Linked DNA regions of Yarrowia lipolytica. The protein of the gene in region 1 purifies or fractionates together with the protein of each later gene. This does not show direct contact. Links are inferred from orthologs where the notes say so. Each region holds a gene or a part of one and is shown on either strand. Other genes may lie near its edges.

What was found.
Region 2: the proteins of YALI1_B26430g (region 1) and YALI1_F18105g purify together in Saccharomyces cerevisiae (affinity purification with mass spectrometry; 4 studies listed by BioGRID). This does not show direct contact. The link is inferred for Yarrowia lipolytica from reciprocal best matches to the Saccharomyces cerevisiae genes ROM2 and IPP1.

Annotation. Positions count from the first base shown.
Region 1 is NC_090771.1:2,638,428-2,645,559, reverse strand, and holds YALI1_B26430g (uncharacterized protein), read left to right. Parts: upstream 1-1,881; coding exon 1,882-1,932; intron 1,933-2,491; coding exon 2,492-6,382; downstream 6,383-7,132. Other genes in the region: YALI1_B26451g (uncharacterized protein), read right to left, coding at 1-483. UniProt on the Saccharomyces cerevisiae protein: Stimulates the exchange of RHO1 GDP-bound form into GTP-bound form.
Region 2 is NC_090775.1:1,808,994-1,812,550, reverse strand, and holds YALI1_F18105g (uncharacterized protein), read left to right. Parts: upstream 1-1,977; coding exon 1,978-2,955; downstream 2,956-3,557. Other genes in the region: YALI1_F18122g (uncharacterized protein), read right to left, coding at 1-274.

The DNA.
Region 1 (7,132 bases):
GTACTTGTTGGGCTTGGAAGGGTCGTCCTTGTAGATCTTCTCAATCAGACGCTTTGCCAGCTCCTGTCTGAATTGCATCAGGTAGCCTCGCAGCAGTTCGACCTCATTTCGGTCTCGGGGAGGGGCGTAGAGAGAGTTCAGTGGGAAGCCGGCGTCTCCGGGAATGGAAAAGTGTTCCACAGCAGCAGTGTTCAGCAACTTGTTGGCCTCGTTGGCAGAAGTGGTAGGCTTGAGCTTTCCCAGACACTCGGACACAAAGAGAATGCCGTAAATGAGAGCCCGGTCGGCAGGGCCCTTGATCTCAAAGTTCTTAAAGAATGAGTTTGCTCGGAACAGATCCAGCACCTCGTCGATGATGTCGTAGTCGGCGTTGCTGGGGTAACTGGGGCCTCGGAATGACGTTTTGATGGGGAGGATAGCGAAATTGCCCACTACCCGGGTGTCCTGGTCCTCGCCGAGAAATGTACTGTTCAGAGCTGGCATTTTTGTGTCTGGTTGGATGTGTTAACGTTGGTGATGCGTTGGTAATGACAGGTTTGGGTGTGATGAGGTGGAGATAGCTGGTGAACTCTAATAATGGCGCAGTTAGAGGTGAAATTGCAAGGAATGGTGGGAGGTGAGATTTTGGTGACCGGAGGTAGGTGGATTGATGGAATGTCATAAGCCGATTCAATTGAGTGAATTGGAAATGTTTCGACCATGAATTCCGCTGATTACGAAGCGAACATTCGGAGGAAGGGGGTGCGGGTTGCTTCAGTAACATACTTGGATTTTACTTGGATGGCACTTGAGTTTGTTTTCTCAAATCACTCCCTCAGTTGATTGAACTTCAGATTTACTGTACCGTAGCTACTGTGTCAGATAAAGGTGTGACCGACTGTAGTGCCAGCCGGGTTGACTTGCGGGGAACCGGAGTTAAGAGAGTTCATTATCACACCCTGGTACAAGTACAAGTAGCCGATGTTCGTATTACAGTAGTAAGTGTCTCAATGTCAATACCGTAATGGCTATAATCGGGGAGGGGACGAGGATCATTCTGTAGGACACATGCCTACAATACAGTTGCACCTATCGTAGGTACAAGCAAGCTGTGTGGCAAGTGCGAGCGAACAGTTATTGAGTTAACAATTGAGTGGTTATCGTGCTTGAAGTTGAAAGGAATTGTTATCTACTTGTGGCTACACAAGGCACTATTTTCGGCTTCCAGCCACTCCCTTGCTCAACTGCTACAGGACCATCGGCTGACGGTCTTGAGTCTTCCGTGTTTATTGCTTTTTGGACTACTGTACCCCTGTGCTTATTAAGGACAAATGAGGTTAAGTGATGGACTGCATACGACGGACATAGTGAATATGACCGACAATGGTGGGTCAGAGAGGGGTACTTTTGGGTAGAAAGGTGACAGTAAAAGCCAGCAAATAGTTCATCACAGGCTATTATGACACACTGGAGGTGTTTGGACTTCTTCATCATCTCTCCAAAAAAGTATCTCGAGTACTCATACAAAGGTCTGCTCTTGTACAGTCTTCCCCAACCCTATTTTCTGACGTTTTCGGCAGTCCTATAAATGCCGAAAAAAAAGACAGATTTTCACGAGAAAAAAGACCACCGGTTCACCACATTGTAGCAAGTAATATAGACCGTACCGACCGGGTCAAGTTGCATGCGTCTCCCTCATAGCGCTCCATTTATTCCCCCCACACTAATACCGCAGGTGACTAAGCAACCTAAAGTTGGCACCACACAAACACAGCCTCGTGCGTCTTAGGGTACAGTACTACACTTTTTCAGAGCCCGCCAATCTCTACACCAGTTGTTGTTTGCACGACACAACGCCCCAAGAGACACACAACTAGTCACACTCGACCCAGGGCAGCTCAAATGGCGCAGGACGTGTTGGATATTCCTTTTACCGATATTCCGTCGATGCAGGTGAGTAGATGAGACATGAGGAGAAACCCTGATAGACACAGGCAATGGGTGATATGGACAGAAAGGAGACTGATGTGAACACAGAACCAGTGGCAAGCGAGACACAGACAGGCAGAAGAAGAGACCTAGAATTAGAAGCATCGACATGGCTCATATCCCAACAGTACAAGCGGTGTTCCTATCGTACCGCGCAGTTACACAGATGAGCGGATGGTTTAAGGGTGACGTGAAGGATATATTCAGATGAGATTGCTGTGGAATGTGCAGTAATTTCATTTGGTGAATGTTCACGACTGTACTGTTCCTATGGCGACATTTTAGCGACACTGTTTGACGTGGTTTGAGGGGAACCAAGGCGTACCAACGCATCGCACGACACATCACGACGTGGTGTAGAGCATACATGACGACACACTTAGGGCAAATCAAACCTACATCGACTCTAAGAATCGCCATATACAAATTATCACAGCCCATTCTTCTGCTCCACTAGCTACATCTCGTTGTCCGCCCTCGACTTTCGGACCCTCACACCTGTTGCTCCCGTATACTAACCAAGCGCATCCCCGCCTCGCGGTCCATGCAAAACCTCAACGAGCGGTATGAACAAGGCCAAGCCCCTCCCCAGGGCCAGACCAAACAGCCCCCCATGCAGCCCTCGCATCATGCCAATCCCCCACCCCAGCATCACCAGCAGCCACAGCAACACATGCCACCGCGACATTACCCGACCAACCGGCCACAGCCCGGACAGGCCCAGCAGCAGTCGCCGAGACAGTACCCGCAAGGCCAGCCTCAGGGACACACGGGCCAGACCCAGTATCCTTACGCTGTAGGACGACAGGGACAGCAGGCTCCTCCTCAGCATGCTTCCCAGCAGGTGCCCCAGCATGTTCCCCACGCGCCTCCCCAGCAGCACCACGGTCCTCCCCCGCAGAATCATGTTCCTCAGCTGCAGCACGGTCCTCCGCAACATGCTCCGCAACATGTTCCACCCCCGCATCAGCAGCAATACTCGCCTCAGAAGCACCCTCAGGGCGGCCAGGTCCAGGGAGGAAACATGCCCCCAACAAGTATGGGCCAGGGAATGACTCCTGGAGCACCGCAATACGGTGGCCAGCAGTTCTCACGACAGCAACAACCGCCACAGATCCAGACCCAGGCTAACCCTTACCACATTTCCCGGCGACCCCAGATGCGACACACCCAGTCGGCCACCTCTCCGACCTCCCCCTCCAACCCGTACTCGCAGTTCAGCCAGTTCAATCCGGGCAGATCAGTGTCTGGTGGACCTCAGCAGCATCACCCGGCTCACCAGCAGCAGTACGGACGGTCCATGTCTCTAACTCAGCAGTCGGTGGCAGCAACATCGCGAGGCAACCCCAACGTCTACGATCGAGAAACCGGGGGCCGAACCTCTACCATGACTTCAACCTCTTCAGGTAGAGTGATTCCGCCGCGACAGGGAGGACCTCCTGGCTCTGGACCTGGAGGAATGGGAGGCAGCACCCATGCAGTTAACGCACAGGGACACAGCATCCCTGGGTCAACCGTCAGTCTCAACTCGACGGTAACTCCCTCTACGTCGGCAACCCACCTTCCCTCGTCTTCCTCTGCGTCGGTTGCCACTGCCAGCACGGTCGTGTCTCCCACACAGCAGTCAAGCTTCGGCAACCACAGAACGACCTCCACATCGTCCATGCGGTCGTTGTCATCTGAATTTGGCCCCTCTCCTCGTTCTGCAGTACTCACTGCCTCGCGACGAGCCCCTCTCGTCTACCCTGCGTTGCTGTCCAAGGTGGCCGAGATGTTCCGACTCACCGTTGTGGTAGCAGACAAGAAGAAGAACGAGCTGAGTTACTCCAATTCGTTTCTGGGTTCCGAGGCTGTGTCAGTGATTGCCGATATCATCAAAACCACTGACAGAAACCTGGCCCTGCTTCTCGGCCGGTCTCTGGATGCCCAAAAGTTCTTCCACGACGTCACCTACGACCATCGGCTGCGAGACTCGCCCTTTGAGCTGTACCAGTTCAACGAGATTGTGGAAGCCAATGATGCGGCTGCCCAGACTGTTGGAATGCCTGTCAACGGTGTGTTCACGCTGCTGACAGAGTGTTACTCTCCCACGTGCACTAGAGACAAGCTGTGTTACTCCATTGCCTGTCCCAGGCGTCTAGAGCAGCAGGCTCGGCTCAACATGAAGCCCAGCGGTCTTAAGCGATCTGAGTCGCGTCTGTCTCTTCACGGCGACAGCGACAACAAAGAGCAGAAGCTGTGGAGAGAGCGGGTCACTAAGGAGATAGCCAACAGTGTGGATGACGAGGAGAAGAAGCGACAGGAGGTCATTTGCGAGCTCATTTACACAGAGCGGGACTTTGTCAAGGATCTGGAGTATGTACGGGACTATTGGATCACTCCCCTGCGAACCTCGAACATTATTCCCGAGGCTCGACGAGAGCGATTCATCAAGATGGTCTTTTCGTTCATCATGGACGTGCATGCCGTCAACATCAAGCTGGCCGAGGCTCTGACCAAGCGAGAGCAGTTTGCGCCTGTTGTTCGACGTGTCGGAGACATTTTCCTGCAACACGTGCCACGATTCGAGCCGTTCATTAAGTACGGAGCCTCGCAATTGTACGGTAAGTATGAGTACGAGCGTGAAAAGTCGTCTAACCCGGCATTTGCCAAATTTGTCAACGACACGGAGCGTCTCGAGCAGTCTCGAAAACTGGAGCTTAACGGTTACCTGACCAAGCCTACCACTCGATTGGCCAGATATCCTCTGCTGCTCGAAGCTGTGCTGAAACACACCAAGGAGGACAACCCCGACTACGGTGACATTCCTGAAGCCATCAAACAGATCAAGGCGTACTTGATGAAGGTCAACGAAAAGAGTGGTCAGTCCGAGAACCGGTTCTCGCTGATGCAGCTGAACCAGTCGCTGGTGTTCCAGAAGAACGACTACGTGGACCTCAAGCTGATGGAAGAGTCTCGACGAATCATTTTCAAGGGCTCTCTCAAGAAGCGAACCCAGGACACCCAGGGTGAGATCCAAGTGTACTTGCTGGACCACTTTTTGCTGTTCGTCAAGGTTAAGGTGGTCAACAAGCGGGAAATTATGCGTGTATACAAGAAGCCCATCCCCCTCGAACTTCTTTTGGCTGCTCAGGCTGAGGAGATCGGTCCTAAGAGCTCTTCATTCCGACGGCCTCCGTCTTCGCTGATCCCCAAGACTGTGTCGAAGGAGTCGTCCAATGGAAAGTACCCTCTGACCTTTCTGCATATCGGACGAAAGGGCTACGAGTTGACTTTGTATGCTGCCAACTTTGCAGCTCGAAAGGCGTGGTCTGACAACATTGAGTCGCAGAAGAATGCCCGACGAGAGCTTGGCGACGTATTCTCGCAGTACACGCTGTGCTCCGGCTTTTTCCACGGCAATAACCGTGTCAATTGCGTGGTTCCCATTGACGGCGGAAGAAAGGTGCTATATGGAACCGACTCGGGAGTGTTCATTTCTGACATCCGGCATCTTCCAAAGCAGCAGGGCTCGCTACAGAACTCCATTGTGGCCACCACCCCTGTCAAGCTCATTTCTACGAGCAACGTGACCCAGGTGGCCATTCTGGACGAGTACACGACGATTTTGGCGCTTGCTGACAAGACTCTATATGCTTGGCCGTCCGATATCATCGATACTCCGGATCCCGTATCCAACTCGCGAAAGGGTAAGAAGGTTCTTGGTCACATCAACTTCTTCAAGGCTGGTGTGTGTAATAACCGAATGCTGGTCTGCACAGTCAAGTCGAGCTCCACTTCGTCCACCATCAACGTCCTGGAGCCCTCAGAACCCCTAACCAAGAACAAGCGGCAAACAACCCTCCTGTCTCTCAAGAAGGGACGTCAGGACACCGAGTTCCGGTCGTTCCAGCAGTTCAACATTTCTTCAGAGATTATCTCCATCTCACTGTTGTCTCTCAACTTGTGTGTTGGCTGTGCTAACGGTTTCAAGGTGGTGTCCCTCACCAATTTCGACACTCAGAGTCTGCTGTCTTCTGCAGATACTTCCCTGGATTTCGTCATTGGCAAGGAGCAACTCAAGCCTATTGCAGTGTACCGACTTGATGGCGAGTTCTTGCTCAACTTTTCCGAGTTCTCGTTCTACGCCAACGCCCATGGCTGGCGAAAGCAGCCCATGTGGCGAATCGACTGGGAAGGCGTGCCTCAGAACTTTGGTATCTGGTACCCGTACCTGTTGGCTTTCGAACCCAACTTTGTGGAGATTCGGCATGTCAAGACGGGCGAGATTGTGAGCGTGATCCACGGCGAGAACATCCGGTTCTTGCACGAGTCGTCGCGGGAGATCATCTACGCGTACGAGGACGAGCGGGGCAACGATGTGATTGCCTGTCTGGATTTCTGGGAAAAGAGTCAAAAGAGAGTGGCGGCGTAGGAAAAATCAGTTTTAATGGGGGAGTGTATGTACATTTATTTATTTAATAATCAACCAGTGAAGAGGTGTGGCCTCAGAGCGATGTGTAGGGTGGAAGGGTATTTGTCTTATTGAGTGGATTATTATGGCAATGTGATGATAATAGTGAATCTGTCATCTACTGTACGATAGAAGTACAGTATGTACCGGTACTTGTAAGAGGGTGCTTTAGGTGGTAATGGCAGCGTACAAGGACTTGAAGACCCGCACAACCATTTCCACCTCGCTACTCACTGCCTTTTTAGCTCAGCGGGTGAGAATGTCTCCAGTCGCAATGGTTAGCGAGATGAACGATGCGAACGATTGAGTTTCATTTAGCTCGATTTGGACGTCACTCAACAGGTCCAAAGGTGACACTTTCTTTTTTGGACGTTGAGTGTGGAATAATCCGGTGGAGGTTGTCGTATTATTGCATCCATTAGTTTTTCCGCTTTTGAAAGAGGGGTATATGGACTGACGCTAATTGTACTTATCGTCTGAACAGGTTAGCGAATAAAGCCAAGCTACTGTGTACTATAGACAGAACTGTAGACAGAAGGTAGATATTGAACGTCTGAGCATGGTGCGTGTGTAAATCTTGATTTGCTACTGTGGTCACTTATCGTGACAGCCTACATTGTCTCTCCTCTGACACTCCGTCTGCGCTATCTCCTGCTCAACATGCTCCTATGTATATACTTCCAAAAATGCAAAGATCGGTGGCAAAAAAAT
Region 2 (3,557 bases), on another chromosome or scaffold:
CGTTGGGGTCTCGTCGCGGCGGTAGCTCGGGCGCAGCCACCTCGTTATCGCTCTCCACAATGTTGTCGTGCGAAAAAATGTATTCGAGGGCCTTCTCCACGTTGTGGTCGTTTCTGCGGAGCGCAATCTTGGCGACATCCTCGCTGATGCCCATTTCAATCAGTTGCTGGATCTGAGACATGTCGGTAGTGTCGTCAATGTATTTTTTGGACGTCCCCTGGTGGTCAAACAGGCGTTTTGTCTTGCGTACTACCGACTTTCGAAACGTGCGCATGTGTGTAGGAGGGGTCTAAGTTAGATAAGCTTGGAGAGGTTTAGAGTTGAAACCTCGAGGTTTTTCGACACTGTTGACTGTGGTCATGGAGGGTTAGTTTCTGGCAAAGGGCTCATTGAGGTAGTAGCTGACGGTGTCTAAGCTAGGAGAGCGGTAAAATGAAGAAGAAAAAAAAAAAAAAAAAAAAAAAACAAGAAACAACTAAGAAGATCTCGGGGAATATGTTCAGGAGGTGGCCCAACTTGCTGAAACTCTATAGTGTGTTCCATATCTACCTACTTGTAGTGCGGTGTCAAGAAGCAACCTGAAACGGGGATTTCACGAATAATTAAGAGGAAAAGAGGAAGTAAACATATTCTTTTTTTCATTAGCTGCTAAGAATTGAATCGATCAACTGTTAATCCTCTACAATTGAGGGAATTGCCTCACTATCAGGGGGTAAACTATTGGATGGAGATTTGAGGAAGCAATGAGATAAAAACACCCATCATTCGGAGCTACACATGAGTATAGTACCTTAATGTCGTTTGTATTGGTCTTATATAAACCTCATCTGTTTGCTGGTAGTCTTTTTACTCTGAAACAGTCGGTTTGAGTCATGTTTTGGGTCTACCTGTGGGTTGTCATAGCAAACTTGGAAAGGTTGTAAAACATGTAAAAATGGGTTTAGGGTGGCATTGTCGTCACCATTTGATTAATTCAGGTGTCTAGTTTCCAATGGTATTACTTTTATCCCAAAATCGCGGGTTAATGAGGTCAGAATTTTGATTATGGTTGCAGAAATTTCCTCTAATCAACGCTTAATTTAAGCCATCATAGTATAGTGGTTAGTACACCACGTTGTGGCCGTGGAAACCTCAGTTCGATTCTGGGTGATGGCAGTTTAACAACTGCTCCAAACAAGTGGGTTAAATTCCCACAACCTTTTTTAATATTTTTCCCTTTTCCTTTTCCTTTTCGCTTGCTCTAGTGTACTCTTATGAGATGGATGGCGATCTACGCCTTGAAACCCGAAGACACACGATAACCGATGCATATGGCAATATCTCCGCGCAAGAGCCGAAGAGAATGTTGGGTTTCGTGCGATAATCAACTGCCTGCTTTTTCGTTTGAAGTTTAGCCCAGCCGCTCTCTTTTTCACCTGCTGTCGCACTAACGCCATCCACGTCACAGCTCATGACAAAACCTCCTCGGAGGAGCCCAGAATAATCAGTATTGCACCCCACACCACGTTTCGGCGCGCAATCGCAAATAAGAGGGCACAGGTGATGGTTGCTGAGGCAGGCACTTGTACGTCATAGGTGTATGACTCAGGGTGCATTGAACAGGTAATAACTGCCCATCCACTTTGTTGTTGGGCAATGTGTGTGTGCTAAATTTCGTCTGGAGAGTGATTTTCACAAGATGTAGAATCCACCACATCTCAATTGATGGCACAGCGTCGCCACACACGCACATGGGCCTCCGAGTCGCACTTTATGTGGGGAAAGTTAGGCTCCCCCCATGCTCACCAATAACAGTACATATAGACCCATGGAAACCCAAAGAAGGGACCTCACCTTTGGCTGAGAGAGCGTGCACGACGGGAGCACTTGTACAACAATCGGATCGACGCCAACCAGCCCAGCCTGAAAGACCCACCACAATCGTCGCCACGAGGCCACCGCCAAAAAGATCAAAGGACACGCATATATATCACACACATGCCATCACACGTGACGAGGACAAGTTCAGATCAGGTTACCCTACCGCACACCACGCATCATCGTCTTGGCCAGGTCAGCCAGCACTTAACTTCTTCATCCAACACCAGCAACATGTCTACCTACACTACCCGGTCCATTGGTGCCCCCAACACTCTCGACTACAAGGTCTACATTGAGAAGGACGGCAAGCCCGTTTCCGCCTTCCACGACATTCCTCTGTACGCCAATGCTGAGAAGACCATTCTCAACATGATTGTCGAGGTTCCTCGATGGACCAACGCCAAGATGGAGATCTCCAAGGACCTTGCTCTGAACCCCATCATCCAGGACACCAAGAAGGGCAAGCTCCGATTCGTCCGAAACTGCTTCCCCCACCACGGATACATCCACAACTACGGTGCTTTCCCCCAGACCTGGGAGGACCCCAACCACGTCCACCCCGAGACCAAGGCCAAGGGTGACAACGACCCGCTCGACGTCTGCGAGATCGGTGAGACTGTTGGCTACACTGGCCAGGTCAAGCAGGTCAAGGTCCTCGGTGTCATGGCTCTCCTCGACGAGGGTGAGACTGACTGGAAGATCATCGCCATCGATGTCAAGGACCCTCTTGCCTCCAAGGTCAATGACATTGAGGATGTTGAGCGACACCTGCCCGGTCTTCTGCGAGCCACCAACGAGTGGTTCCGAATCTACAAGATCCCTGACGGAAAGCCCGAGAACCAGTTTGCCTTCTCCGGTGAGTGCAAGAACAAGAAGTACGCCGACGAGGTCATCCGAGAGTGCGAGGAGGCCTGGGAGACCCTCATTGCCGGAAAGGCATCCGACGACAAGGGCATTTCTCTCGAGAACACCACTCTTGAGAACACCCCCACCTTCACTGCCTCTGCTTCCATTCCCGAGGGCCAGAACCTTGCCCCTGCCCCCATTGATCAGAGCATTGACAAGTGGTTCTACATCTCTGGTGCTTCTGTCTAAACAGAGTCCCTAGTGTAGTTTATATATAGTGCAAGAAATTGTTGATACAAGTGAGTGAGTGAGTGGATGTATGAGGAGAATATGTAGTCGTTGAAGTGATGTGACGATCAATTGATTGATTGGTGCTCTAGGTTGAATCAGGATACAAGTGCAGTACGAGTATTTGTACCGGTAGCTACTTGTATTTATGTCAAGTATGTACAGTATATCGTTTTGTTTTTGTTTTTTTTTATGTACTGTAAATATTTGTCGGGTAGCACTCGACGATACAACATTTCACTTCTAATAGCAATTGATAGAGGCGACTTTCTCGACATGTTGATACACATCAATCATGCTATTCAAGTCCTTCTTTCAGTTATCGACAACTGTTTATGTCGGTTTTTGGTCGTGTCCTCTTGGGTATTTACTCATAACCTGTGAGAAATGGAAACACCCACACACGCACACCAGAATGCCACCAAAACATGCACTACAGAGTCTACATTGAGGGTATAAAACGTGAAAAATGAGGGGGGGGAAATTGTTTTTAAATAATTGAGTAGATAGAAAGATTGTTTCTCCTCTTTGGCTTGATATCACGTGTTTCGACCCCAGTGTGT